4 linked regions of the Elephas maximus indicus genome follow. The protein of the gene in region 3 purifies or fractionates together with the protein of the main gene of each other region. This does not show direct contact. Links are inferred from orthologs where the notes say so. Each region holds a gene or a part of one and is shown on either strand. Other genes may lie near its edges.

Region 1 (8,008 bases), on a different chromosome or scaffold from region 3:
ACTGTGCCACAACTCGGTCTTTTCTCTAACACATAGACTATCACACCAAATCAACAGCTGATTGCTTTTGTCTCTAATTTCCCCATGCACGCTTTTACTACGTAGTTCTGTAAAAAGTGAGCATCATTTATACTAAGGAACAACCACTTCAAGGTTTTGTCATCAGCAAGGCAGAGCTCAGATAAAAGCTTCTACCTTCCCAGGTGGGTTGCAAAAGTGATGCCCAGCTTCAGGAAAAACTACTCCAAGTTCACAGTCAGACAACGGCAAAGCCGTAAGGACCAAGGTATAAATCAACACCAAGTTTTCTTAAACAGGACTTCACTTTTGAGTTCCCCTTTGTTACTTCTAAGCTAAGCTGCACAGTCCTGGACCTTAAATATCAGATAATTCTGAACATGTAAAGAAGTCTCACAAGGCCACAAAACTCATTTTCACATATACTGAAATATTAACTAAAAGTTTTAGGGAAAAAGGCTTTTGAAATATGTATTACAAACACTACCAAATTTATTATCAACGTCTCCCAACTGGGATGTATGCGTATCCTCGATGAATTATCTTGCGCAGTTTCTCTACCATCTTAACACCCACAAGAAAGAAATCTAAGAATACTGGGCAGCTAGCCTATTCCTCAGGCATTAAAATGTTCTGTTTTCTTCGTTTTCATTGGAAAAAACCTAGGAATTAAGAAACGATGACTGATCTCATTTTAGATGGGCCCATTTTATGAAGGTAAATTTCTTAGCACAATTTTCTTCCTTTTTAAGATTAAAATTACCAAAATCTGTTAGGTGAATAGTGTTACAGGCAAACCAGAACTTCAAGATTTAAATTATCTTAAAATTCTAATCCATGTGGATTCTAATTTTTTCGGTTTTTCTCTGAGAAATACCCCCCCCCCCAAAAAAACCACTGCCAGAGAGTAGTATATTCCGACTCACAGCGACCCTACAGGACAGAGCGGAACTGTCCCATAGGATTTCCAAGGAGTGGCTGGTAGATTCGAACTGCCGACCTTTTGGTTAGTAGCTACCTTTTGGTTAGCAGTCAATCATTTAACCACTGTGCCACCATAAAGCCATTCTAATATAGCCATACACCCCTGCACAGATGTGCAGAAGTTAATTTTAAAAACTGAAATAAAAATATTTAACAAAACGTTCGTTTTTCACTGCCAAAACGACCAACTACTGCTTCATATCAATCAAAGAACTGTACTAAATAACATGAAAAGTATTTGATCTTTTAGTCTCTGGTTCTTATAAGCACTGAATGAATGACAAGGTTTTCACCCACAAATGGTGGTGACATTTCAAGAGCATTTCAGGGGTCGTGAAATGAGTTTTCTTTTAAGAAAGCTACAAAATACTGTAGAACAGAAGAAAAATGAAAGGCACTGATTAAGAATAGGAAAAGATTTTCTCAGGCATTTCATTTTAATGACTTCAAAAGATCTGCAAAACCCACTTTGCCCAGTTGTTCGTGCTCTAGCATGCACTCTGTGCATGCAAATTCAACCCTATTTGAGGACAGCAGTATCAAGCAAAAAGCAGTTACAACTCAGCCAAACTGACAACAATACCCTGTGCCCAGATCAAAAAAGGAAATTATGTGGCTGAATTCTTCCCAAGTCTGGGATGAGATATTTGTATTACTGGACATGCTTCCGAACCCGAAGGTGGCAGAGCAATTTCAGCTTTCCCTTTAAAATCTGAACCTCATCCCTCTCCCTATCAATAGGAGTCATTACCACGCACCTCAAACCTTAGGTTAAATTAAAGTTTTGTTTTAACCTTAGTTTATTCATGGGACATCACCTTCCGTTTTCCTTTGCACACAGGGTCATCTATAGGGTGACAGCTGAATGTAGCGAGTTCTGGATCCTGGCTTTGAAGCCTGTCACTTACTAGCTGTGTGACCTTGAAGAAGTGACTTCACTTCTCTGTGCCTTAGTTTCTTCTGTAAAACGGGGGAAAAAATTAAAAAAATAGCACCCACCTGGCAGGGTTGTGGGGACAATTAAGTGAAATCTGTGTAAAGTGCTCATAGAATGCCTGACGTATAGTAAGCGCTTTAGAAGTGTGCGCTATTATTGTAATTTGATGGACGCAAAGCACTTAACACAGCGCTTAAAACCTGGCACGTTTGAAAAGATGTTAACGATACTGTCACCCTCGCTGCTTTCCTGCTCAGGAAAAGAGCGCGGAGATCTCTTCAGCATAAGAACAACTTAAAACACTTGAGGAGCAGGGGAACTGATAAAAATAAAGCAAGATAGGAAAAAGCCCCCAAAGCTGGTGGAACCCAACCCCATCAAATTGCTTTTTGAGAAGAAAAGTACCAGAAACTCGATCCTGGCCGGATTAAAGTCCGGAACCCGCCGTCCTGCAGGTTGGATTGGAGCCCCCGACCTTCTCTCCTGCAAAGACTGGTCCACTTTGCGGGGCTCAAGGGGCAGGGGCGGGAAACGTGGGGGTGCGATGCGAAGTTTTCAAATTTCAGGCCAAGAAAAAGACTGCAACCTCGTGCAATGAATGAGCGGGGCCGCGGGTTGAGCCAAGTTCGGGATCCCGGCCCGGCCTCCCTCCAGCTGCAGCCCCCGGCCCGCCGGCCAACTCGCGGGTTCGCTCCCCCAGTGCTGCAAGCCCAACCGGCCCCCCAACTCTCCTCCCGCGAGCGCCCCTGGCTGCCCACAGCCCCAGCGCTCGCCTCCCCTCAGCCGCCCGCCGTCCCTCTCACCTTCCAGTAGCCGTTGGATGATGCTGTCGATGTTGAGTTTGTCTATATCCGCCATCGCCTTCCCACCGCCGACCCTCCCGCAGCGGCGCCGCCGCCGGCTCGCGCCCGGGACTCGCACTCCTTCCCCACGCCACGAGCACAGAGGCAGTGGTGGCGGCGGTGGCAGCAGCCGCGGCGGGTCCCCCCAGCCGCCCCGCTCCCTGCTTCCTCCTTCTCTCCCCACTGGAACCACGAGAAGAACAAAATGGCCGCCGACTCCTCAGCCAACCTCGGGCGGCGCACGGATGCGCGCGGGGGAGTGCAGCGGCCCGACCGGGACTTCTTTATGGGCCATAGGGCGCGCGGGAGGGGGCGGGCCCGGGCGCGGAAGGGGGCGTGGCCAGAGCGCGGGAAGGGGGAGGAGACCGTTGAGAGTGACTGGGCCCTCACGCAGATCCTTCCGCCAAACGGGTCGACCAAATAGGCCCCCCGGCCCGAGCGTGAGTTGCAAAGTTGCACGCGGGAGTTGGGGTTGCGAGGAGAGGGGGCGCGGAACACACGTGTGCGCTCCGAGCTTTGCGGCTTCCGCAGGGTTGTGTTCGTTGGGGCCACGTGTTTGTAGACTTGGCCACGTGGATGTCCAGCAACGGATTTTATGCGGTTCTGGAATTTATGCTTTAAAATAAATCTGGTGTGGGGATGGGGGTGGAGAGGGAGGATAATAAAGAGATGTATGTTGATTTATTTTGCCTTCAGAAAATGTTAACAATTATTCATTCTAAGCGGTGGGAAATATGGGTGTTGTATATTATTTCTCTGCGCACTTTTGTGACACTTACATTAAAAAAAAAAGATGTTTAAAAATCTACACACACACACACAAAAAAATCCATCATCCCTGTCTTTAGATTATCTTTCCTGCACTCGGCAATTACATAATCATCGGAACGGCTACCCTGATTCTAGCCAGAGCGAAGTTGAAAGAGCGCGTGCACAGGAGATAAAGGGAGAGTTTGCAGATTTCGCGCGTCGGAGCTGAGGCCGGAAGAGAAGTTTGCAGAGGCCGGCAGTGCGGGCTGGGGCCGGGTTCTACAGATCCCCAGTGAAACTTCGGGCCACTCCCCTCCCGCTTCCCAACAGCTCCAAGGTGCATCCCTCTCCGTGGGGGCTAGAGATGGTGGCACCTCCGGGGGCTGCGCATGGCTTTTAGTTGGATTTTGAAGTGCAGCCCACACTCAGCAAACATTCTCTTTCCTGACCTTTCCGCACATCTCTTTTTCCCTGCAACGCTTTACAGTTTGGAAAGCCCTTCCCCTCCTCCGAGAAATTAATTTGATTTCTCAAGGGACGCAGGATGCAGGAATTCCCATCCCCAAATGCCCTCGCGGTGATGGCGCCACCTGGGCAGCCATCTTCGGAAGCGGTGCGCTCCTGGGGGCCCTGGCTTCATGCACCTGGGCGCCCCCCCACCCACTACTGTCGCCGGGGGGTTGGAGTGTGGGGCTCTCCTGGCTGTCCGGAATCGCCAGCTCATTCTCCCGTGCTGTGACTGTGTCCGCCGCAAGTCATACTAGTGTCCCTTGTCAGTCCAGGGCACTGAGCCCAACTGGTGACATTCGAAGTCGGTGCCCAGCACTGCTGTGAACAGCTGGTTGGTGAGGGCTGGGTGGCTCACGCCGGAGTCCACGAGACCTTGGGCTGCTCCAGGGCAAGGCGCGTCATCGCAATGGCAATGAGCGCAGGAATCTGAAAGACGGCAATTCATTGGGCAGCCAAATATTTATGGAGCACCTACTCTGTGCCAGGCATTGTTCTGGGCCGAGAAGCAAGGGTGAGCAAGACAGACAAGGTCCCTCTCTCATGGAACATCATCTAGTTAGCCAGACAGACAATAAACAGAGACGCAAATAAAAATACCAGCTTCTGATAAGTGCAGTGGGGAAAAGCACAAACACTGCGCTCATGTTTTTTAGTACGTGCCAAAACATCTCATTGAATCCCCAAGCCAGTTCTAGGAATTGTGTACCATTCCTATCATCCGCATTTTACAGATGAAGTAAGGCACAGAGGACTAGGTCAGTTGCTGAAGGTCACACAGCTAGTAAGTTACGGAGTCAGGGTGGGACATCCTGAAACCAAAGCCCTTGTTCATATTCAGTGAATCCCGAGCACCTAGCACGATTCTGGCACACAGCAGCCCCTTCACAGATAGAGAACCCAATGGAATGATATAAAGATGCATTGAGCCACAAGAAGACTGCTGGAAGTTTCCATATGCAAAGTGGCAGGTGTGTTAGTCTCTGTCGACATCACGTGGTTGTAGGAGAACTTCAGACTGGGCTGGGACGCTGGGAGGGCCTCTATCCACACGCCATTCTCCGCGTGGGCAACTCCCTCCAGAGCCCAGTTTCGCTGGCACATGCCTGAGGGAATTAGCTGGCTCCAAGCCTGAGAGTGGCCTGAGCTCAAGGGGAAGGTCTGAGCAGCTCCTGGGAACCGCAGTTCATGGAGGAAAGAACTGATTCCCTGTTGGTCTTTGCTACCAAGATCAATCCTAGTGGATAATGGGATGAACTCTTCCCCCATCCCGACCCTCCACCTCCCACCCCATCACACCCCCTTGCTGATGCAAGAATTTGCCAGAAAGTCTATTGCCTAATGGATGGAGTGTCCCTTCCTCTTTCCAGGCCTGTTTGCTTATCTGCAAAATGAGGAGAGTAGATTAAAATTTATTTCTTTCAAATGAACTTCCTGCTGAGGAAAATGGGGAGCTGACAGGATTCTAGTCCCTGGCCCTCTCAAGTCAACCAAAGCAGAGCCACAGCACACAGTAACTGCTAAATTGATATTAACTATCACTACTATTGGAACCCTGGCGGCGCAGTGGTTGAGAACTTGGCTGCTAAGCAAAAGATCAGAAGTTTGAACTCACCAGCTGCCGCTCCTTGGAAACCCTATGTGGCAGTTCTATTCTGTGCTATAGGGTCGCTATGAGTTGGAACCATAGCGATGACTCATAGATTCGCTAATGAGTTGGAAATGGGTTTGATTTTTTTTGTTTATTATTACTATTAAAGGAGGTCTGGTAGTGCAGTTGTTAAGCAGCGGCTGCTAACCAAAAAGGTTGACAGTTTGAACCCACTAGCCAGCCGCTCTACAGCAGAAAGATGTGGCAGTCTGCTTCCATAAAGATTAAAAAAAAGAAACAAAAATGAAACCCATTGCAGTCAAGTCAATTCCAACTCATAGTGACCCTATAGGACAGAGTAGAACTGCCTCATAGAGTTTCCAAGGAGCACCTGGTAGATTTGAACTGTGGACTCTTTGGTTAGCAGCTATAGCACTTAACCACTATACCACCAGGGTTTCCTCTATAGAGGTTACAGCCTTGGAAACCCTATAAGGTGCTTCTACTCTGTCCTACAGGGTCACTATGAGTCTGAGTCGACTTGACGGCAATGGGCTTTATTATTACTATTACTACCACGCATCTGTCAGTTTGTTGTACTTTGGTGGCTTGTGAGTTGCTACGATGCTGGAAGCTATGCCACCTGCATTTCAAATACCAGCAGGGCTACACAGGGTGGACAGGTTTCAAGGAAATTCCAGACTAAGACAGACTAGGAGAAAAGACCTGACAATCTGCTTCTGAAAATTAGCTGATGAAACCCTACGGATCACAATAGAATACTGTCTGATATAATGCTGCAGGATGAGCCGTCCGAGGTTAGAAGGCACTCAGAACACACAGTGGCCACAACAATGGACTGGAGCATACCAACAATTGTGAAGATGGCACAGGACTGAGCGATGTTTCCTTCTGTTGTCCGTGGGGTTGCCTTGAGTTGGAGCTGACTCCATGGCTACTCACAACGAACCCGAACAACATTATCACTGTTATCTGTTTAATACATTGAGCTTTCGTGTAACATTTGAAGTAATTTAAAATAAGAGATTTGAAAACCAATTATATCTGTAAGCCATCCTTAGGCTTTGAGGGGGATCTAGCTGGCTGGGTAGAGACTGCAGTGAACTGGGGAACCCACATCCCATCTAAAGGGGTGGCCACTTCCCAGCTCCAGTTTGTTGGAGCCAAATGGGAACATGGGCCCAGTGTGGCCAGATCCTCAGATTTTTCAGGAGAATTTGGATTTTTATGTAAAATGTTTCAATCTTTAAAATTTGGTCAAGAATTCAAATTCTTCTAAGACACAGTCTGCAGCAGACAAAGCATGTCTGTGGGCTACATTGGGTCCCTGGGCGAAAATTTGAATTCCCATCTAGAAGATTGGGGTGAACTCTTTTCCTTCCATTCCCCCCCAATTTGGTGAGCACTAAGGATTATCATTAAATGATTGAAAGAAGTGCTGACGATGAGGTTCGCCAGCACGTCTGGACCTATCTGGTTATCCGGAAGGCTCTGTACCAAGTGGGGAACCACAGGAAACAAAATATGGATGAATCCCCTTGACTAAGTCCATAGCTTTTGTGAAGCGAAGCTTTATTTCAATGTCCTACTGTGTTGCCAGCAGATACTCTTTTGACCACCGTTTATTAAGGCCTTACTATGTGTCTGGCACCGTAGTGAGAAGCTGGGGACATAGAAGTGAGCAAGTCAGATGTAGTCTCTGCCCTCATGGAGCTCCCATCCTAGTGGAGGAGACAGACAGAAACAGATGAACCAATCAAAGAAGACAGTTTCAGAGTGGTATGCTATGACAGAGTTAAAGGGATCATGTGGCCACATAGGAGAGGGACTCTGAGAAGGTGACATTTGAGTCAAGACTTGAAGAATGAGAAAGAGGAAGGCGTGGGAAGAACTATATAGGGAAGAGCTTTCCTGGCAAAGGGAACACCAAGTGCAAAGATCCTGGGGCAGGAACAAACTTCCTGTGTTGAAGAAATGGAAAGAAGGCCAGAGAGGCTAGAATGTAGAGTGAAGGAGAGAGTACTAGGAGGGGAAGTTGGAGAGTGGGCAGGGGCCAGATCATTCGGGGCCTGGTAGGCCGTGGGAAGGCATCTGGATTTTATTCTAAACGTAATGAGAAGTCACTGCAAGGTTTGGGGCAGAAGAATAACATGATCTGATCTCATTTTTTTAAATAAGCTTTTTAGTTTAGATTTGCAGAAAAATTCAAAGCTAGTACAGTGCCTGCCCATAACCTCTTCACCCAGTTTCCCCTAAGGTAAACATTTTACATAATCACGGCATTGCTCTTAATTTTCCATGACACCTAAATCATAAAGAAATGTTGATTCACGAAATATCCTGTAACATCAGTACCCA
Region 2 (7,776 bases), on a different chromosome or scaffold from region 3:
GTAAAGGCAATTCACAGATCCTGTAGTGCTTTCCACTGTTTTTCAAACTGGAGGTCAGGACTCAGTGAGTCATGAAATCAATTTAGTGGGCCTGGATTAGCTTTTTTTTTTTTTAATTGAAAGAAGCAGAAAATACCAAAGTGCATCATGTTTAGTAAGCATCTAGGCCCTCTTCCTTGGTGAGCTCATCCAGTCTCATGCCTCTAAATGTCATTTACAATTCTCAAATCTGTATCTGTAGCTCAGGCCTCCTAAACTCCACTCATTTAGACATCTCAATTTCCACATATCTAAACGTAAACTCCTGATCTTCCTTCCCAAAACAGCTCCATCTGCAGCCTTTCTAGGTGATGGCAATTTTATTCTTCCACGTTTGACCCTTTAGGCTAAAGTCCCTAGAGTTATTTTTTTATTTCTCTCATTCTCTAACACATCACGTCCCATCTGTCAGGCAGAATGCCCACCTTTCATATGGGAGAACAGGGTTCAATTGCAGGCCAATGCAACCACCACCTGTCTGTGGAGGATTGTATGTTGTTATGATGATGAACAGGTTTCAGCAGAGATTCCAGACTAAGACAGACTAGAAAGAAAGGTCTGGTGATCTACTTCCAAAAATCGCTAATGAAAACCCTGTGGATCACAACAGTCCAATCTGTAACCAAGGCTACCACCCTGGTCCAAGCTACTATCTCATCTCTTACCTGGACTGATGCAGTACCTACCCAACAGGTCTCTCTGCTTCTCTCCTTCCCCCCTAGTTTATCCTCAACACAGCAGTAAGCGTAATCCTTTAAAACAGGGGTCAGTAAGTTTTTCTTAGAGGGCCAGACAGTAAATACCCTGGCCTTACAGGCCAAGAGGCAAAATCAAAGACATTATGTAGCTACAGGAGAGAAAACAAATTTCCACAATTTTTTGTTGACAAAATTAAAAACATAATAATAATTGTGTACAATGTTTTGTAATGCAGGTCTACTCATGAGAAAAAAATTTTTAATGATAACATTTTACTTAATTGGGGTTCAAGGTCAGTGTTCTCCATCATTAAATTGGTTGCAAATGTTTATGTGTAGAAACTATTCTTAGTTGGGCGATACAAAAACAGGCCAAAACCAAAAAAATCAAACCCACTGCTGTTGAGTTGATTCCGACTCATAGTGACCCTACAGGACAGAGCAGAACTGCCCCATAGAGTTTCCAAGGAGTGCCTGGCGGATCTGAACCGCCAATCTTTTGGTTAGCAGCTGTAGCACTTAACCACTGTGCCACCAGGTTCTCCCCCCCCCCAAAAAAAAGGCAGTGGGCTGGATTTAGCCTGCAGGCTGTAGGTTGCAGCCCCGTTTTAAAAAACAATCATATCACTCTTCTCTCAAAACTCTGTGCATTTGCTTTCTATTGCTTCATACAAATTGCCAAACTCAGCAGCTTGAAACAAAGCTCGTTTATTACCTCACAGGTCTATAGGTCAGAATCAAAGAAGGCTGAGCTGAATTCTCTACTTAGGGACTTACAAGGCTGAAGTCAAGGTGGGCTCTTATCTGGGAGATCAGGGGAAGAATCCAATTCCAAGCTCATTCAGACTAGTGGCAGAATCCAATTCCTTGTGGTTGTAGGTCTGAGGTCCCCAGTTCATTGCTGGCTGTCAGCCAAGGGCCACTCTGAGCTTCTGGAAGATGTTGGCGTTCCTTGCCATGCGGCCCCCTCCATCTTCAAAGCTAGCAATAGCACACTGAATCCTGCCATGCTTTGAATCTCTCTGACTTCCCCTTCTGTTAACAGTTGGGAAAAATGCTCTGCATTGAAAAGTTTCACCTGATTGGGGCAGGCATCCTCAGATAAGCTCCATATCTCAAGGTCAACTGACTTGGGACTTTAATTACATCTGCAAAATCCCTTCATTGCAGTCCCTAGATTAGTGTCAGATTGAATAACCAGGGGACAGGAATCTTGGGGGGCCATCTTTAGAATTCTGCCTACTACACCCCGCAAAAGCTTCCTACTCAGAGTAAAAAGACAAGGCCCTTACCAGGGTCTACATGATCCGTGCCATCTGCTCTCCCCCAATCCCCATGCCTGCCCCATTATATCTCTAGCCTTGTTTCCTACTACTCTCCCTCTGGCTTACTCTGTTCATCCACATTAGCCTCCCTGCTGTTCCCTCAACATGCCAGACACATTCCCAGCGTAGGGTCTTAGCTCTAGTCTCTGCCTGAGATGCTCTTCTCTTAGCTTGTTGACTCCTTTACCTCCAATCTTTGCTCAGGTTTCACTTTTTCAATAAGGCATACCCTGACCACCCTACTTAATACTACCACCTGCACTCTTGCTCCTGGCACTGCCTATTTCTCCTACCCTGTTCCACTTTTTTTTTCTTTCCCTTACTGTACCTATCACTTTTAATATATTACATACTTCGTGATGTTTATTGTCTCTCCCTCCTTGATAGAATTAAGCTCCACAACTGTTGACTATTCTGTTCGCTAATTATTCCAAGTATCTAGCACTGTACCTGGCATAACGTAGATGATTAATAGGTATTTACTGAATGAATGAAGTTTCAGGAAATTCCTATTTCTGTTTTCTACATATGTGTGTAGTAGATTGTGGTGTAAAATGTATTTCTTACTGAAGGTGCAGTCAAGAGAGTTTGAAAACTGCTGGAGTTAAACTATATGACCTATAAGGTCCTTTCCAAATTTGAGCACTTAACAAAATTTCACATGCAGCTAGTAAATCTCCACCATATCCTTTGGGAGATGGCAACGTTCACAACCTAGTGACTATAGCAAGGCACCGAGTTACTGAAATACAACACTGACACAGAGAAAGCTAAATAGTCATCCTTACCTGTTCTGTACGGTTGCTATGAGTTGGCATCGACTCGACAGCAACGGGTTTGGTTTGGGTTTTTTTTTTTTTTTTTGGTTCTATGATTGTGGGTTAGAAAAGACTGGAAACAGGAAGAATTGTTGAATGCCCCCAAAACACAAAAATCTGAAATTAAACTTTCCACAAAAAGAGATATTACTTCAGAGCAAACAAAAGAGAGCAAGTTCCAGATCACTTCTAGTCACTTACTGAAAAAGCGAAGAGCAGTGAAGGAAGACATCACTCAAAGTCCCTGCTGTAGAAATTGTGTCCCGAATGGACGTCGGGAGCAAAGCCCACTTCCTGAGTATATATGCTTTCCACTCATCCACAGGCAGATCCATGCTACTTTAGATCTGTAAAATGAGTAATAAGGAATCAGATTTCTATAAATGCACAATGCCAGACAATTAAGATTTTATTCAAGCAAAGTTAACGCAAAAAAAAAAAAGCAATTCTTTGGGTCTTTTCTATATTTGTTTATATGGATGTTTTGTTGTCTCGTGGGGCAGTGGTTAAGAGCTCAACTGCTAACCAAAAGGTTGGCAGTTTGAATCTACCAGCCGCTCCTTGGAAACCCCATTGGGCAGTTCTACTCCGTCCTGTATGGTTGCTCTGAGTCAGAATCGACTTGAAGGCAGCAGGTTTTTGTTGTCTTATAACAAATGTCTGAGGAAAGATCTATATCTTCTCACACCAACTCACTCAATAGTAACTGAAAGCCTACTACATTCCTGGTACCACGTTAGGTGATTGCTAATCCATGATGAATCAGAGTAGATAGCTACCATCACTGTCCTCTTGGAAGCTCTACCTACTTAAGTTGCTCAAGTCAGAAGTCTGGGAGCCACCAGATTTTTCTTTTTTACTCATCCCGGCAACTATTCAGTTAACAAAGATTTCTCTCCTACGGTTCAGTTTTCTCCTTCAACTCCCAGGCCATTCTTTCAGTACAGGCCTCAAGATCCCTTGCCTGACATCCTTTCCAGCATCATAACTAGTCTCCTTGCCCTCAGTTCCCCCGACTTTGAGAAAGATGTCAGTCCTCTGCCTTAAATGCATCAATGCTCTTCCTAGTACACAGGGAAGACCAGTACCAACTCTTCATTATTTGACCCTTGGCTTCCTTTCTAATTCTCAAGTGCACTTCCTTCTCTGTACTCTACCATACTGAAATACTCATAAGCTACCTCTTGTCCCCCAGTTTGCGAGGCTATTTCATCTCTCCAAAATTTTTGCAGAGTCTATTCATTCGGCCAGGTTCACCCTACTCTCACTGGGTGTTCACCTGGTAAACTCCCATACATCCTTCCAGGTTGTATTCATACGGCACCTCCTCCTGGAAGCCTTCCCTTGATCTTCCATCTATGATTGCAGTATACTTTGTGTCTGTCCGGTGCATACCTACTTTTAGTTTGGGCTACTCACGGTCGGTGGCTACTCCCCCGACAGACTGTGCTCTCCTCTGAGGGCAGGAGCTGGGTCTTATTTACCTTCAGAGGCCCCCACAGTGCCAAGCTCAAGGCCTGGCACCGGCAGGCGTTCGCACTGGGCTGGCCAAGGAACAAAGTCACTGCTTTGCCTATATTTAGCAGCAGAGTTCCCAGGGAACAGCTCTAGCTCTCCTCCGGGCTGCCAGTCTGTCTCCCCCTAAAGACAGCGCTGGGTACGCTCCCAAGAGCCCGTTCGGGAAGCTCCCGGAACTGGGCCCCTGGCGCCCTTAGCTGTTTCCGCGCAACTCTTGGCACGTCCTGCGGCTCGGCGCTCCGCCCCCACGCCCCATCGTCCCGCGACAAGACCCCGCACGCCCTTGGGCGGGTCACGTGGGCCGTCCACCTCGTCTCGGCCAGTCCGGTTGCTGCTTGGCCCCTGGGCCCGCCCCGGCGCCGCACGCACGTCGGGAGGTGGCGTGGCGCGCGCAACTCCTTGGGCCAATCGTTTTGGAGAGCGCGAGACGCCGGGGAGCGGAGTGGGGGCTGCGGAGGAGCCGGAGCGCCGGAGTTAACGCGGGGGAGCCATGGTCGGCCATCTGAGCGAGGGGGCCATTGCGGTGAGCGGCCGCCTGGCAGCCGGGCGAGCGGGACGGGGAGCTGTGGGCCCTGGAGGCAGGGAGTTTGGAGATGTGCGGAGTGGAGGAGCGGAGGGGATCTAGGGGCGGTGGGGAGAGGACTCGAGGGGAGTAGATGGCGGAGGGGAACCGCCGAGGTGTCTTTCTTGTAGGGTCCATCACTCATTCGTCGAAGGATTTTACCATCGTCTTTTAAACATGGTCACGTGTTTCGTATCTAAGAAAACAAAATAAACACCTGACTCCCCGATTTCCCTGCGCCTGCCACTGTCTCCTCCCTTTTCCCCATCTCAGCCAAACTTCTGCAAAGTTGTTTTCAGCTATTTCATTGCTTCACCTCGCATTAACTCGTTAACATGCTCCAATCGATCATCCCCCGATCGCTATAGAAATATCTCTGGCTTAAGTTACTGGTGGTCTCCACGTCGTTAAATCCAACAGATACTTTTCAGTTTTCAACTTACCTGAGTTCTCAGCAGCGTTCTCAGTCTGTCGAGCATCGCTTTCTTGTGGTTACACTCTCTTCTTTTGGCTCCTGTGGGGCAGCTTGGTTGATCTTTGTAAATTTTGTTGACTCGAGGCTCTCTTCTAGGCCATCCTCTCCCAAGGCAACCTCATAACCATCTATGTATGGCAATCATTCACACATTTCGTTGTCCCGAGCTGCCTTTATGCTGAAAACAAGCCTGTTTACCGGATATCTCAAAGGCATCTCAAATTCAACATGCCAAAAGCAAACCCGTTATCTTCCTTAGTCTGGGTCTGTCAGGGTTCTTTATTTTGGTGAATGGCACCATTGTCGGTTAAATTATGCTAGCCAGAGATTGAGAAATCATTCTTGTGACGTCCTCCATCATCCTGTATGTCCGTTTACTTCACCAAGTCCTGTATATCTTACCTCCACATGTGTTTCTTAAATTCGTTTATTTCTCTCCATACACAGTGTCATGTGTTGCCTGGATTACTCACTCCCTACTCAATACCCTCTTCCCTTCACTCCTGTCATCCCAGATTTTCACTGCTCTCTCCCCAGCCTCATGGTCTTTTTTAAGTTCCTGGTATATTCCATACTCTTGCCTTCCGCGGGACCTTCGAACATGCTTTTCCCTCTGCCTGTTGCCTGAGTGGTTCGTCACTCTCCATCTCTCTAGCTAACGTTATCTTCAAATCCCAGCTCAGCTGGGACTTCCTGAGGGAAGCCTTGTTTGACCAAATTTTGGGAACGTACTGCTTCTTCACTTACCACCTGTGTAACTTTGGGCAGGATACTAAATGTTTCTCTGCCTCCTTCCTCCTCTTAAAGTGAAGGTGATGATACCGAGTGCCTATTCCATACGTGGGAGGATTTAATGAGTTATTCCATTTAAAGTGCTTAACCCAGTGCCTGATACATAGTAAATGCTCAATACATGTGTCCTATTTTATTTATTTTGTTGTTGAGAGTATACACAACAAAACATACACCAGTTCAACAGTTTCTACATATACTATTTAGTGATGTTGATTGCATCCTTCGAGTTGTGCAACCATTCTCATCCTCCTTTTCTGATGTTACCAATTTTTTATAACCACTGATTTAATTTTACATTTGTAGGTTTATTTAATTAAGAGCAGTTACTTTTTGACTCTCCCACTGGATTGTAAATTCCATGAGGCCACTAATTATGTTTGCTTTTTTGCTCAGCATAGATAGAATTGCCAGCACTGCTTTAGCTACTGGGGATACTGTGCCCGATGTTCACTAATCACATGAATGCATTAACCAAAACCAAACCTGTTGCCGTCTAGTCAATTTAGACTCGTAGTGACCCTGTAAGACAGAATAGGTTTCACAGTGTGGCTGGCAGATTCAAACCGTCATCTTTTGGTTAGCAGCCAAGCTCTTAACCACTGTGCCACCAGGGCTCCCTCAATGCATGAGGCAGTGAAAACAAAGGGATACTGATGGATGGGGAAGAAAGGGAGCTTAGGGGAAAGCAGGAGGGGGAAGAAGGGTAGGTGGAGGCCTGTAAATACTTGCTAAAATTTGGGGATGCAGAAATGCTGAGACCTGAAAAGTGATTGCAGACTGTAGTCCTCATTCTGTCCTATAGGGTCGCAGTGAGTCGGAATTGACTTGACAGCACAGGGTCATTGGGTTAGTCCTCATTCTGACTCAACAGCACTGGGTCACTGGGTTAGTCCTCATTCACTTTGTAGTTGCTACCTTGCACCTTAAAGAAAATTATGAATGGTTCTTCACTTTTAAAAGGAATGATCATGAGATAATTTAAATTTGCTGAGTGATTTTTCCCTGTATTCAAAATTTTAGAAACATATTTCCAGTGTTGGGTAAAGTGTTACTTGAGTTTTACTCAAATGAAGGAAAAAAAAAAAGACGTTTGCATGTGTGTATGTGTCTATCCTGGCAGCGTGTGGCGTGAACTTTTGTGAACTTTGATTATGAGCTAAAACAAGTAGTATCATTTAAGTGCAAAAGACACAGGCCCAAAGGGGAAAGAAAAGAGCACACGAATAGTAGAGGCTTTTTGAGCAAAATAAAAATAAAAGATTATGCGTGGAACTGTTGTGATAAATGGAATAAATGGCATTTCTATCTTAAGTACTTGGGTTATAGAAAGAAAGGGGAAGGAACTAATATTTCTGCTTTCCAGTGTGCCAGACACTTTGCAGATAACAATCAGTACTTATATTAACCCTGTAAGGTGGGTTTTTATCATTACCCCCATTTTACAGATGAAGAAATGAAAAGTGCAGAGACATTGAATCATTTGTCTATAGAGCAGGGACCCAAATTCATGTGCCCTTGACTATCACATTCTGTTGGCATGGTTTTT
Region 3 (7,211 bases):
AAAGTAAATGAATATTCCAAATGAATAACTAATAATTAATCTCGTAAAAATATCTTAGGTATCTTAGATCTTTTGAGAAGTTAAATTATTCAAGGTCTACTAAAAAAAAAAAAAACAATGGATCCTTTTAGGTTTATAATTTAAGTTATTAAAACAAGTAGCATTCAGGAGGTTTCTTAAAAGCTTAGTTTTGTGTGTGTGTGTGTGTGGTTCTTTTTAAAAAAGTTATATTTATCACCTTTCATTATCTGCTGTCCTGAATTTGCCCAAAGTGAACTCCTTGTTCTCACAGCCACAATGCAAAAAAAAAAGTATAAGAAGAGTTGATAAATGAGAAATACCAAGTGGAGAGAACGCAATAAAAATTTTAATGCTTCATATTTTAAAGACTTTTGCTTCACTGACTTAAGGAATGTGCAGATAAATTACAAAAAGATACTATGCAAATGGTTTATGTATAAACTTGGAAACTTCTACTTAAGTACTTGTCAACTAAAACAAATACTCAATAATACTCCACCTATATAATGCCAAACTAACCACTGAATTCATTAGTCAGGAAGAAATTAGTGTGGTAATTGTTGCAACATTGTACAAATGGGGGGGGGGAACAAGAGAATCTGAAAAGCCTGTTAAGTGCGCTTTCTCTTTCAGTACCTAAACCAGTATTAGATTAATGTATAAAAGATTCTCATCCTCCTTCAAGCCAATATATTTGGGTGTCTCTACAACAATAATAGGAAGTTTAAATTTCTATTTGACAATTTTAATAAGACATACTAATGTAAGAAATTATCCAATCACGCTGACCTCAGGGATAAAATAACAGCTTTATCTTTTAAAATTACACTTGAAACAAATTTGAAAAGATTCATCTTACATAATTACAATATCATTTGAATGCCACAAGTTTCTTTCATTTTCAAATGTCATGTTTTTAAAATCTAGAGTTATGCTGTGCCTTAAAATCAAGCAAGGCTAAAGAAAGTTTGCTATACCTTAAAGAATCTAAATTAATGGAACTGAGAAAAAGCTAAAGACCAAGCTATATCCTTACTGGGTACCACATTCTGATGTCAAGATTTTCCTGTTAATTTATCCATCATTTCAATTCATCCAGTCAACTCTGTAAACAAAGGCTATAAGCCAACTATGATATGAGAATTCAACTAAATAAAACTTAAAATAGTCATCATTCACTTCAACAGGAAGCAGTAAAAGGAAAAATGCTACCACACACCTCTCTTTTCAAAAGACAGCAAGCTAATATGCATGAAATATAAAGCCTTTAAGTTTCAACCTCCCAAACAAGTTTTTGCTACAGTATTACTCAAAATAAAGCTGCAATCTTCCCTTTACAGCCAAGCAACTTTGAAAGATTTCACAAATCTCTTCATTGTCAGAGGAAGCTATTGCTGTTAAGTCGTTTTCTAGTAATTACAAGTTGCCAACTAGGAAAATTCTAAGAGGCTATGTCTTGTTACCTACTACCATCATTTAAAAATTGCTTTTTATGCAGAACTCTACGTGGTCGTGTTGCTTTTGGCCTGTTAAAGGCAAAGCAACATTATCTCTGGATTGCCAATAGTTTCTCCTTATTTGGCTAACATTGAGAGATCCCAATCAGACCACTATAAAACTTTAACATGCACAAAGCATCCATTTTGCGGAAAGTTTGTGACCAGTTTTCCTTTTTCCCACTCCCAAAAGAAAAACCAGATCTTGGTAACCGGCTTTGAAAAGAATGCCCCATGTTTATTCTTCTCTTTCTAACTCCAGTGCACAGCCCAGGACCTGGGGCTCCAGGATCTGTGACACTGCAGCAAACTCACACCGAGTACTGGACCTCAGATAAGCGTTCCGGTCTGGAGATGGACAAGCACTTTTGAACGCTCACTTCCATTCCCTCCCTTTCAGCCGGTGCAGATCAGCTAATTACACCCCGTTTTCTCCTCCCCAGTAACCAAGAGTAATAAAAGAGAAAACAGGAAATCGTTCGCTCAGGGCACTCGGCTTAGAGCTCTTGATTACTATTATTACCATCATTTGTAATCAAGTCCTAAAAAGTACAACAAATCCAATGCCCACCTACAAGCCAAAGATGTCCATCTGCCCGAGAGTCCCTAATGTTCCTTGTAAGTAGTTCTCTTCAGCATCCCCGTCCCCCAAATAAATCCCTGACAGCGGGGCCCAGACACAACCCATTACACCCCTTCTCGTCTCGACCCCAAATCCCAGACACACGACTACAAACGGCCTTAGGGCCCCAAGCAGACCACAGTCCCTTTTCCCCTGTGCCCCGTCAACCAGCCGATTCCCAACTTTAATACCAACTGCTCTGAAGGGGGCCTCAAGCCCTGCGCCCTCCCTCCACCAGTTCTTTCCCTCCCTCCCTCGCGGGAAACCGCCCCCTCACCCCACAGCAGGGAGTCTCTCCCGCCGCCCCCAGCCTCAGGAGGCCCAGAGCGGAGGAGAGGCCCTGACTAAAGAACGGCGGAAACCCTCAGGGTCAGGAGAGCGCGCGGCGGGGTGCACAGACCTGGTGCAGAGCGGTAAGTCCGTCCACATTGGCGTAATTGATGTCGGCGCCGCGGTGCAGCAGCTTGAGGACCTCGTCCGTGTCGCCGCTTGAGCAAGCAGCCAGGAAGACGGCGCCATCGTCGAACTTCACCTTGGTCTTCTGACGCTTCACCACAGGAGGCTCGAGGTCCGTCTCGGAGCCGATCCAGCGCTTCAGCTGCTCGTTCCGCTTCTGCTTCGCGTCCGCCATCTTCATCCCCTCTCCTGCCGCCGGGTCTTCTTATCGCGAGGGGGGAAGGGGGAGGCGGAGAGGGAAGAGAGGGGAGGCAGGGGGTGTGTGACTGTTTCTATGAGGGCTGGCCAGAGGAGGGCTGGGAACCGGGAGGAAACGCTCGAGACTTCCAGTATCCCACAGAGCACTGGGGCGGCGCGCCCGGGCGAGCGGACCTCCCTTCCTACCACAGAAGCCCTCCCGCCCCCGGCCTGGCCACCCGTCACCGGCGGCCACTGTAACGTAACTTCGCGAGATCCGGGCAGGGAGGCGCCCTTCGGCCCGTGCGCATGCGCCCTGGGTCTGTGCCCGCCCCAGGAAGAAAGCTCCCGCGAACTGCGACGGGGGCGGCCCGGCCACCGGAGGGAAGCGGGTGTGGCTCGGGCCGCGGGGGCTGGGACCAACCTGAGAGGGAAGAAGGAGGAAAGGAAGGTTTCCCTGCCCCACTAAAGGCTCCCAGGGTCCCGAAGGCCAACAGTTGGCCTGCACAGCATTGCGGGGCAGACCTGCCTCCGAGGCTGTCTTGGCTCTGCGGAGTCGTTTGCTCAGCACGGAAGATTTTCCTATTGGCCTGCGTTATTTGAATGGAATGGGGGATAGTTCTTGTGTTAGGTGCATGTGGTTTCTCTTTCCAAGGAACTCTGGAAGAATTGGGCGTCTGACAACTGAACAGAACCTTTTTAAAGTTGGATCTGTGTAGCCAAGGACTTTGGACGTAGTTTCCCCAGATCGCAGCCGGAGATGACCGCCTAGTGCCCAGGGTTGGCCTGCGGTCATTGCAGTGGCTTCCTGCCAACACCCAAACGTCCGGCCAAACGTCTTTCCTCTCCTGCCTGGCTTTTTGTTTTTAACCTCCTTACGCTTATTTTGGGTCCTCTTTTCTCTCAGTGCTTTAAGCTGCCCAGTATTCCTCTTGAGCTCAGTTCGGCCTTGTTACTGGTCCTGACCTTTTAAGGGATTTCTGCTTCCTGCTCCCTCTTTTTCTAAAGACGTATCTACTTATGGGGTTCAAAAGAAATGTAAATAATAGCAACCATTTCAACCAGTATTTTTTTTAGGTGCCAAAGAGTCAGTTCCGACTCACAGCGACCCTATGTACGAAACACTGGCTGGTCCTGCTCCATTCTCACAGTCATTATGCTTGAGCCCATTGTTACAGCCATTATATCAATCCATCTTCTTGAGTGTCTTCCTCTTTTTCACTGACCCTCTACCTTAGCAAGCGTGATGTCCTTCTCCAGGGGACTGGTCGCTCCTGATAACATGTACAAAGTATGTGAGACAAGTCTCACCACCCTTCTAATATTTATTGAATACCTATAAGCCAGTCATGGTTCTAGACACTGCACGTATTAACAGTGAAGAGAACGACATGCTTATTTGAACCACCTCTTGAGGCCATCAAAAAAAAAAAAAAATCATAATGAAACACTAAATTTGCCTTGTTTGACTACTCATACTCAAAAAGGAGATACGTAACAAATACTAATATAAGCTCATCTATTTGCTACCGCCACCAACTGATGTTTTTCTAAACACCCCATTGTTTTCATGCAACTGGTTTTTTTTAGAGCGTTTACAAGTAAAATAAGAGAAGTCATAAAATACTACCATCGAAGGGAAATTTAGGGATTGTCTTGACTGAGTTGCCAAAGAACTAACTGATGTTTAATTTCACCCAAAAGCAGGATTAGGATTTATTCAACAAATATTATGCACCTGTTCTGGGTCAGGCATTGTTCTAGATGCTGGGGATACAGCAGTGAACAATTTAGCGTTGTTTACTCTCAGCATGATACCCTTTCCGGTAGACTACATTGTAGCTATCATATTGGAAACTAAAATAGACCAAAATCCGATTAGGAAACAATCTACCTATAAGACTGAATTTCCTGAACCACAAGTCCCAGCATAGAAATATAACCAAAATAAACCAAATCGGTTGCTGTCAAGTCGATTCAGACTCACAGTGACCCTGTGGGACAGAGTAGAACTGCCCTACAGAGTTTCCAAGGAGCAGCTGGTAGATTGGAAATGCCGACCTTCTGGTTAGCAGGCAAGCTCTTAACCCCTGCACAACCAGGGCTCCCAGGTTCAAAATGGAAACCAAACGCATTGCTGTCCAGTCCAATTTCAACTCATAGCAAGTAGAACTGCCGCATAGGGTTTCCAAGGCTGTGAATTTTTCCAGAAGCTGACTGCCAAATCTTTGTCCCACGGAGGAGGCTGGTGAGTCGCCTCTGATCTGTCATTTAGCAGCAGCCAAGTGCTTAACCACTGCACCACCAGGACTCCTCTAGCCCAGGTTGTTGTTATTGGCAGGTGCCATCAGAGGCAGTTCCCAATCTTAGCAACCCTTATGTACAACAGAAGGAAACACTGCTCAGTCCTACAGTCCTCACAGTCATTGCTATCTTTGAGCCCATTACTGCAGTCACTGTGTCAATCCATCTCATTAAGGTCTCCCTCTTTTTTGCTGACCCTCTACCAAGCATCATGTCCTTCTCCAGGGACTGGTCCCTCCTGAGAACATGTCCAAAGTATTTGAGACAAAGTCTTGCCATCGTTGCTTCTGAGGAGCATCCTGGCCTTACTCTTTCCAAGACAGATGCGTTTGTTCTCCTGGCAGTCCATGATATATTCAATATTTTTCACCAACACTGTAATTCAAAAGCATCAAATCTTCTTCAGTCTTCCTTATTCATTGTCCAGCTTTCACAGGCATATAAAGTGATTAAAAATACCCTGGCTTGGGTCAGGCACACCTTAGTCATCAAAGGACATCTTTAGAGGTCTTCTGCGGCAGATTTGCCCAATGCAATACGTCACTTGATTTTGTGACTGCTGCTTTCATGTGCATTGATTGTGGATCAAAGTAAAATGAAGCCCTTAACAACTTCAATATTTTCTCCATTTATCATGATGTTGCTCATTAGTGCAGCTGTGAGGATTATTGTTTTCTTCATGTTGAGGTGTAATCCTTACTGAAGGCTGTGTTCTTTGATCTTCATCAGTTAGTGCTTCACGTCCTCTTCATTTTCAGCAAGCAAGGTTGTGCCATCTGCATATTGCACATTGTTAATGAGTCTTCCTCCAATCTTCCTCCAAGCTTCTCAGATTATTTGCTCAGTGTACACATTGAGTAAGTATGGTAAAAGGATACAACCCTAACCTACACCTTTCTTGATTTTAGAACATGTATTATCCCTTGTTCTGTTCAAAGGACTGCCTCTCGGTCTATGTACAGGTTTCACATAGGCACGATTAAGTGTTCTGGAATTACCATTCTTCAGAATGTTATCCATAATTTGTTATGATCCCAGGTTAGGGATCCTGAAAATACTGTAGGAATAGAAGGTGAGGGTAAGAAGCGTAAAATACACCAATGATAATACCACATCTTGGAATAATGATGGAGTAAGGAGCTGAGAAACTCCAAATTAGCACTAAAATTCAAAAGACCTATTCACTTAAAAAACTCCAGAATACAGCTCTTACAGTGAAAGAAAGGAATTTGAGGATAGCCTTGTTAGCTTTTCTGTCTACCTAGAAAAACTGGCAGCTTATCCTTAGTGTTTTCCAAGAATGTTACGTGGCCTATTTGGTAGCTCATAAAAGTGCTCTGGAATACAGATCAGTAACTCCAGTCTTCATTTGGGCAAGAGGAGTTTCGTAGGAAGTTTGCTATTATTGAAGCAAGCATTTACTTCTGAATATAAAATTAATAAATAAACTAAAATAAGAATTAGTATATAAATAAAATATTAATGGTTAAGTCCACCACACGTCTGCAGTTTGTCATACCGTGGTGGCTTACGTGTTGCTGCGATACAAGGAACTTTACCACTGGTATTTCAAATATCAGTAGGGTCACCCTTGCTGAATAGGTTTCAGCAGAGCTTCTAGACTAAGACATACTGGAAGAAAGACCTCTCAGTTTACTTCTGAAAAAGTTGACCAGTAAAAACCTTATGAATAGCAGTGGAACCTTGTCTGATATAGTGGTAGAAGATGAGCCCCTCAAGTTAGAAGGCACTCAAAATACAACTGGGGAAGAGCACACTTGCCAAAGTAAAGTCGACCTTAATGACGTGGAGGGAGTCAAGCTTTCAGAACCTTCATTGGCTGATGTGGCACAAATCAAAATGAAAAGAAACAGCTACAAACATTGATTAATAATCAGAATGTGCAATGTATGATGTATGAACCTAGGAATATTGGAAATTGTCAAAAATGAAATAGAAGCATAAAGATCAATATCTTAGGCATTAGTGAGCTGAAATAGACTGGTACTGGCCATTTTGAATAAGACAATCGTATGGTCTATATGCCTGGAATGAGAAGTAGAAGAGGAATGGTGTCACGTTCACCATCAAAAAGAATATTTCAGGATCTATACTGAAGTACAACATTATCAGTG
Region 4 (7,066 bases), on a different chromosome or scaffold from region 3:
TATCATTATCACTAGCAGCCGTAATGCTTAAACTCAAGCTGCTATCTACAAAAGCTCATCAAACCCAAATTAAAAAAACCTCTTAAAAGCTGAAATACCAGCCTGTCTCCTGGCAGAGTTAACACAAATCTCTCCGCTCTAGGACAACTAAGAAGACCCTAAGTAGCACCTCAGCTCCCGCTGTCACTGCTTGGTCGGACCCCACCCCATGGACAGGAAACACCTGAAGATCTGCCTGTTTTACTCCCCTAATAACTTACACCACCATATGACCAAAACCAAACCCGCTGCCGTCAGGAGTCGCCTCCAACTCATAGGGACTCTCTAGGACAGGGGAGAACTGCCCCATAGAGTTCCCAAGGAGTGTCTGGTGGATTCAAACTACTGATCTCTTGGTTAGCAGCTGTAGCTCCTAACCACTAAGCCACCAGGGTTTCCCCACATGACCAGGACAAACTTTTAAAAGAGTTAACTGACAAAGAATCAGGACTATGAAAAAACTCCAACAACAAAACCACTCTCACACATGCACATGCACTGTTTACTTGATATGAGCAGTTTCTCCCAAACCCACTCCAAATCAATACTCAAAAAGGCCCACAGTTACCTGATAACATTTTAGGCTGAACTATGATGGATTTGGAGAAAGGAAGTCTGGACTCCCCTCTGGAAAAAGTTGGTTCATCAAGAAGACCCAAATACCCAAAGCCAGGACTAGGCCAGCCACTCACCCTGCACATTCATTTATCTGCATCATTTAACTGCTACAGGACCACCCAGATACAGAGGAGAGTGTTGTGAAAGCCAAAGAACTGTAATTTGTTTGACAAATTTTTTTAGACTCTCCTAAACCAAAAAAAAAACCCATTGCTTTCAAGTTGATTCCGAGTCATACTGACCCTACAGGACAGAGTAGAACTGTCCCATAAGGTTTCCAAGGAGCGCGTGGTGGATTCGAACTGCCAGCTTTTTGGTCAGCGGTCAGCTCTTAACCACTATGCCACTAGGGTTTCCAAAGGCAACCAGCAAGGTGTAAAAGTGGAAAACACTGGACTAAGTTGGAAGCCCTGGATTTTAGCTGACTCTAGGCCTGATACTCGGGAGTGCGTGGAGAATACCTTACAAAAAAAAATTCTAATCTGCTCCCCCAACAAGATACGTGAGCTTGGTAAATTTACTTAAGTCTCTGGGACTCAGTTTCCTCATCTGCAAAAGGGAGGGGAAAGGGTTGGATTACAAGTCCTGAAAATTCCTTCCAGGTCTAAAATTCTGGTTCTATGAAGTCAGTTGATAGCTATATTCCTACTCTCTTCTCCCTCCAGCACAGATCTCTTATGAGAACAGAGATCATAAGTCTCTAGGACTAAAATCTGACTCAAAGCGCAAGTTCCATATCATATTTTTTGTTACATTCCCAAGAGCCATCAGTGATCTACCACAGTAGATAGGAACTATCCTTAATACAATTTATCAGAAGATAACCTCAATAAGTCATCTTTTACAATTCAGAAAAAGTCTTGTATTTTCAGTGCAAACAACGTCACTTGTGCCAAGCCCTCAAAATAATATGACCACCAATTCAGTCATGTCTAATGGAAACCCTGGTGGCATAATGGTTAAGAGCTACAGCTGCTAACCAAAAGGTCAGCAGTTTGAATTCACCAGGTGCTCCTTGCAAACCCTATGGGGCAGTTCTATTCGGTCCTATAGTCACAATCGACCCAAGGGCAACGGGTACAGGTAAGGTGACAATCATGTACATGTCCAGACTACACATTTGTGTGGGGGACACTAAAACTCAAAACAAAACTAAAAGTGGCTCAAAAATTCTCACCACATACAATATTTAAAAAAAGCTTTTAATACAGAAGTATTTTTTTCCCTCATTTTTGGCAGAGAAGAATATAATTGATTACACGCCTGCAAGAAAAAATTTACTTCAAAAGGGTAAAGAAAAAAAGAACCGACCAGATCACAAACAGGTAAAATTCTTAAATCAAAACTATCAAAAAAAAAGTGTCATTTTTTACCTTCTTCCTCAACTCTGAGGCAAAAAATATGTCATTTTTCCGCCATAAACTACTAGACATGGTTTTTGATCAAATCGATTTGTGCGCAAATAATGCTATTTAATGAAGACTACCTGTAACTGTGGATCCAATCAGTAACTAGGGACAAATGTTTAGATGCTTCCTAATCAAAATAATAAAAAGGACTAATTAAAATTGCAAATTAATACTCTATTTTGGTGGAACATAGATCATAAAAAATGCTCTTTTCAAGCGGAAAACGTCCTCACTTTTTCTTATTTTACAATACAAATAGCCCTGATCCCTAAGATTACAACACAATCTCCAAAAACACTACATTAAAAAAGGAAATGTACCCCAAACACTGAATTCAAACAGCATAAAACATTCATATATTACACTGAATGTAAAAAAGCAAAATGGAGTTGTAAAGAGTAACTTTCCCATTTCAACTCCTACAGCCACGCGCGAGTCGCAAAGGCCGGCAGTACCGCGCGGTCGCGGGGCCGGATCCGGAGCCCCCGCCCTACCCGGCGCGGCCGCCGCGACTGCTGGGCGGGGAACCGGCGCGGCAGTGAGAGGAAGCGCTGGGGAGGGGCGGCGGACGAGCAGGCAGCTTGGGCTCTATCTACCAGGCCCGACCGGGCGGGGGAAGGGGCGCGGGCGGCGGCGGGGCGCGCTTCCGGGGCCTGAGCGGGCGGGGCGTCGCCTCGGGGCGCGGGGCCGGGACCGAGAGCCGGAAGCCATGGGCCGGGGACCGTGGACCGGACACCGGGGGCGACCGGCTGGAAGCAGCAGGTGGGGCGCGGCTGCGGAGGGGCGGCAGGCGGGCGACCGGAACAGTGCCGAGCGGGCGGACCAGAGGCGCCGCGGCGCTGGGAGTGAACCCTCCCGCTCACCTTTGGCGGCGACTCCGAGTCCGGCCTCTTCGTGGCGAGGACGCCGCTCCGCGAGTCGCGAGCTCGGAGGCGCTGGCTGGTCGCTGAGGAGGCGGCGGCTGACTAACGAGAGAACCGAGGAAGGACGGCGGGCGGCGGGCGGGGAGCTCGAGCGAGCGAGGGCGGGCGGTGGCGGGAGGGCGGGGAGCGACGTGCGCGCCCCCGGGCGCCCGGCGGGCTCGAGCCGGCCACAGTCGCGGCCCCGCGCACGCGCGCGCACTCACAATTCAGCCACGATTGCTCAGGAGCGTGTCCACGCCCTCAGAGCAAGGCGCTTAACCAATCATTGCAGCCGCACGGGGCATCACGGGAACTCTGGGGCTATAAAAGACCTGGTTGCTATTTTATACCCCTCGAGTCACTCATCCTTTAAGCCGGGTGGGTCTAGGTGCGCGTGCGCGTCGTAAATACTCCTCCCCGAACTGCCAACTCTTCGCGCAACCGCGGTAGGCCTTCCCCGCCTGGGCTCACGCGTGCGCACTAACCGGCCTGGCCCCGGAAAACTAGACGCCTGCGCGGTGGGGACTACAGTGACAGTCCCTGGGGTGGGGCGCAGGCCAGTCATGGCGGAGCCTTGGTCCGGGCAGTCCTTGCAGGCTCTGCCGGCTACGGTGCTGGGCGCACTGGGCGCCCTGGGCAGCGAGTTCCTGCGGGAGTGGGAGGCGCAGGACATGCGCGTGACTCTCTTCAAGCTGCTGCTGCTGTGGTTGGTGTTAAGTCTCCTGGGCATCCAGCTGGCGTGGGGGTTCTACGGGAACACGGTGACCGGGCTGTATCACCGCCCAGGTGAGGTTCCCCATCAACCTCCGCGGGCCGCCCGCCCCCAGCGGACTGTACGGCTCCCCAGGATCTCCCTAGACTACCGCTGGTTCTCCGAGAGTCTTATCAGAATTTGACGCTGAACCCATACTGTTTAATGCCACCATATCATTTCACGCCAGAATCCCCACCAGCCCACCCATCGCATTGTAACGTTCCCCGAATTCCCACCAGACAATACCGCTTATCCCTTAGGACCCCCACCTGACTCTTCACCAAACAATATAACTGGTTCCTAACCTAACCTGGGCTGATGCCTGCCCAGAGCCCCACCCCACAGCCTGCTGCAGCTCTGGCTGTATTCCTGCCCCCAGGTCTGGGCGGCCAGAACGGATCCACACCTGATGGCTCCACGCATTTTCCTTCCTGGTGAGTATCTGTCCCCACCCCAGCCCCATGCTTGGCAGGCAGAGGACGTTCCTGTGCCGGAGGTGGTGGGAGGGGGCTCTCGGGGTGGGAGTCCACCAGTTTTAGTGGCCTTTGCAGCAAGCTCCAAGGTGTACAGCCAGAACTCAGGCTTCAAGCTGGGGGTGACACTGATACCTGGACAGCTTCTCTAAGCATGCTGTCCAGCAACCTGTGGAGTGGGTGGTAGGGACATTATCACCATTTTACAGATGAGGGAACAATTTCAGAGAGATGAAGTGACAGGTCTGTTGCATTCCTCTCCAATGTAAGCCCCTCATTTGGGAAGCCAGGAGTCTCTGTCCTTAGAGCACTGACTGGCCTCATCAAGGCCAGCCTCCTGATGTGTGAAACATGAACTCACTAATCAGGCAGTCATTCAGCTAATCTGAGCTGAGACCAAATTCTGTCTTAGTTCCCTGGAGCTGCCGTAAAAAACAGTAATTAATTTCTCACAGTTCTGGAGACTAAAAGTCTAATTAAGCCAAATTGGGGTTGATTCCTTATGTAGGCCTCTCTCCTGGTTTCTGGTGGCTGCCAGCAATCTTTGGCTTTTCCTTGCTGCTTATTGATGCATCTGCTTTCATTGTCACATGGCATTTATATTCCCACTACATGACATACTCCCTTTTTATAAGACACCCCTCAAAAGAAATTAGGACTAGGGCCCACCCTACTCTGGTTTGATCTCATTTGACCTAGTTGATAAGAAAAGAGAAACTATTTCCCCAAACAAGGTCATATTTACAGATAACAGGGATTAGGACTTCAACATAACTTTTTGGGGGAAACATTTAATCCATAACACTCTATCCTCTGTCTACCCCAAGTTCCATTTCCTTCCCATGTGCAAAATACGTTCATCCCATCGCAAAAGTCTTAACCCATTCCAGTGTCCACTCTTAAGTCCAAAATCTCATCTTTTGAATCATCTAAATCAAGTATGAGTGACACTCTGGGTGTTTTCCAACCTGGGATAAAATTCCTCTCCATCTGTGGACAGATGAAACCTAGAATACAGGTTATTTGTTTCCAAAATATAATGGTGGCCCCTATAATACATAGGAGCTTAGAAATGAATGAGCATATGGAGAGGAGGGACCTGTAGGGCCCTTATCCTAAGGTCCAGGAAACTATTGAAGGACTCCAGGAGGTGGGGCCTGATCTAATTTGCCTTATAACTGCCTGTGTCATGGCAAGATGAAGCAGTCCAAGAGTGAAGGCAATAGGCTAGTTAGGAAGCCTGCCACTGCCCAGGTTTCTGTCTTGTGCAACTGGGGAAGGATGGTGGCACCATAAGGTGGGGACCCAGGAGGAAGAACAGGTCTGCAGGGGGAAGGTGTTGAGCCCAGTGTGGACTGTGGGGCCTGTGAGGCACTAGGAATCTAAAGCTCAGCAGAGAGGTCTGGATCGTAGTATGGCATTACTGAGCCCAGCTCAGCTCCCAAGAAGGGTCTGGGATGAGCCAATCCCAGGGACTGCTCTGCTGCCCATGAAATAACCCCTCTCTTCTCTCTCTCCATCACTTTCAGGGAAACTGCAGCAAATGAACCTCTCAAAACCCACAGAGAATAAAAGAAGGCAACAGGGAGTCTCCTGGCTCCCACATTGGGTTCTCCTGCTGCCAAGTCCTGTGGATGACTACAGGAGGATTGGGGCTGGGGACAGGGAGTACCTTAGCACTTGCAGGGCTGGGCCTCTGCTGCCCTCAGCCCTGCCTCCAACAGTCCCAGGCATTGGGTCAGTGAACTTTGCCTCTACCCTGATCTGTGTGCCTTAAGGGGGAAAAGTATGCTGTTCCTCTCTCAGGGGTTGGAGCTCAGGAGAAGCCTTTGGATTGGGGAAGCCAACAATCCATTTTCTGTCCTATATCTCCTGGCCCTCTTCCCATCCCCCTGTGGTATGACCCCATAGAGATTTGTCTCCTTGAGAGGATGAGGTTGCGGTTGACCAGCCATGGGATTTGTAAGGAAGTCTGTTCTCCCCTAAGCCCTGGGTTCCCTGGATTCCTTTGGTTTTGCTTTGTTGGCAGGGAGCCAGGGTATCCTGGCCTGGGCCAGGCTTTATACTCTGGGGCGGCTTCCTGCCCGCACTGCTGAAGTGCCCGTGGGGTCTCAGGTCTGCACCCTGCTCCCTCACTGGGAAGTATTGAGAAGTTACTTAGCTATTTAGATATAAGGTCCTATGGCAGGGGGAGCTAGCACCATTCAATCATGGAGGCACTGAACACCATCTCCCTGGCCCATCTAGATCTCTTTAGGTATGACCCAGGCAGAGGAAATTGTCATTTCCGAAATGTCCTATTCATATTCCTCAGTCTTTCTGGAGGGAAAATTGGGTGCCTGAAAGGGGCAGAGCCCACCAGCTGAGCTCCTGGGGTGGCCTCCCACCCCCGGCACTGAAGTGTCTATGGGTCTTGAGTATGTACCATGTCCTTCACTGAGGTACTGGGCAGTTAGTACAGAGCAGCCCCATCATGCACTGCATCCTCATCACTTCCCACCTTGACCTGGAACAACAGGATCCTCATCCTAAGAGCCCCAAGGCTTAGCATCTCCTCACCAGCACCATCTCAATGCAGAAGAGCCACAGGTCAGGCAGGCCTGCCACCTCCACAGCAGGCCAGGGGAGCTTCCAAAGGTGTGTGTTGCAAAACATCCCCAAAGAAACACTGGTTGCTGAAAGCAATGAGGCCCTGTACCTGCCTCACTCTCTAATGGCAATATCTCTGCCTGCCTCTGCTGGGCTACCAGCTACCTCAGTGTCCCACTGCCCTCTTCCTCCCAGTTAGAGGTCACGTTTCGATATGGCAGCCTTTGCCTAGGCCATCCTTAAGGCAGAGGGGCATTGGAAGTGGGGGCTGTGATGAACACA

The links.
Region 1: the proteins of PPP1R12A (region 3) and PPP1CC purify together in Homo sapiens (affinity purification with western blotting; 3 studies listed by BioGRID, with this or other methods). This does not show direct contact. The link is inferred for Elephas maximus indicus from reciprocal best matches to the Homo sapiens genes PPP1R12A and PPP1CC.
Region 2: the proteins of PPP1R12A (region 3) and RPA1 fractionate together in Homo sapiens (co-fractionation; 3 studies listed by BioGRID, with this or other methods). This does not show direct contact. The link is inferred for Elephas maximus indicus from reciprocal best matches to the Homo sapiens genes PPP1R12A and RPA1.
Region 4: the proteins of PPP1R12A (region 3) and RHOA fractionate together in Homo sapiens (co-fractionation; 3 studies listed by BioGRID and IntAct, with this or other methods). This does not show direct contact. The link is inferred for Elephas maximus indicus from reciprocal best matches to the Homo sapiens genes PPP1R12A and RHOA.

What each region holds. Positions count from the first base shown.
Region 1 is NC_064840.1:9,270,890-9,278,897, forward strand, and holds the start of PPP1CC (serine/threonine-protein phosphatase PP1-gamma catalytic subunit), read right to left. Parts: upstream 3,016-8,008; 5' UTR 2,798-3,015; coding exon 2,743-2,797; intron 1-2,742. UniProt on the Homo sapiens protein: Protein phosphatase that associates with over 200 regulatory proteins to form highly specific holoenzymes which dephosphorylate hundreds of biological targets.
Region 2 is NC_064837.1:19,912,374-19,920,149, reverse strand, and holds the start of RPA1 (replication protein A 70 kDa DNA-binding subunit), read left to right. Parts: upstream 1-4,762; 5' UTR 4,763-4,888; coding exon 4,889-4,921; intron 4,922-5,403; exon of another isoform or gene 5,404-5,715; intron 5,716-7,776. Other genes in the region: SMYD4 (SET and MYND domain-containing protein 4), read right to left, coding at 3,082-3,215. UniProt on the Homo sapiens protein: As part of the heterotrimeric replication protein A complex (RPA/RP-A), binds and stabilizes single-stranded DNA intermediates that form during DNA replication or upon DNA stress.
Region 3 is NC_064822.1:142,343,995-142,351,205, forward strand, and holds the start of PPP1R12A (protein phosphatase 1 regulatory subunit 12A), read right to left. Parts: upstream 3,006-7,211; 5' UTR 2,777-3,005; coding exon 2,540-2,776; intron 1-2,539. UniProt on the Homo sapiens protein: Key regulator of protein phosphatase 1C (PPP1C). Mediates binding to myosin. As part of the PPP1C complex, involved in dephosphorylation of PLK1. Capable of inhibiting HIF1AN-dependent suppression of HIF1A activity.
Region 4 is NC_064838.1:53,868,120-53,875,185, forward strand, and holds the start of RHOA (transforming protein RhoA), read right to left. Parts: upstream 3,020-7,066; 5' UTR 2,930-3,019; intron 1-2,929. Other genes in the region: TCTA (T-cell leukemia translocation-altered gene protein), read left to right, coding at 3,532-3,754, 4,102-4,156, 5,725-5,767. UniProt on the Homo sapiens protein: Small GTPase which cycles between an active GTP-bound and an inactive GDP-bound state.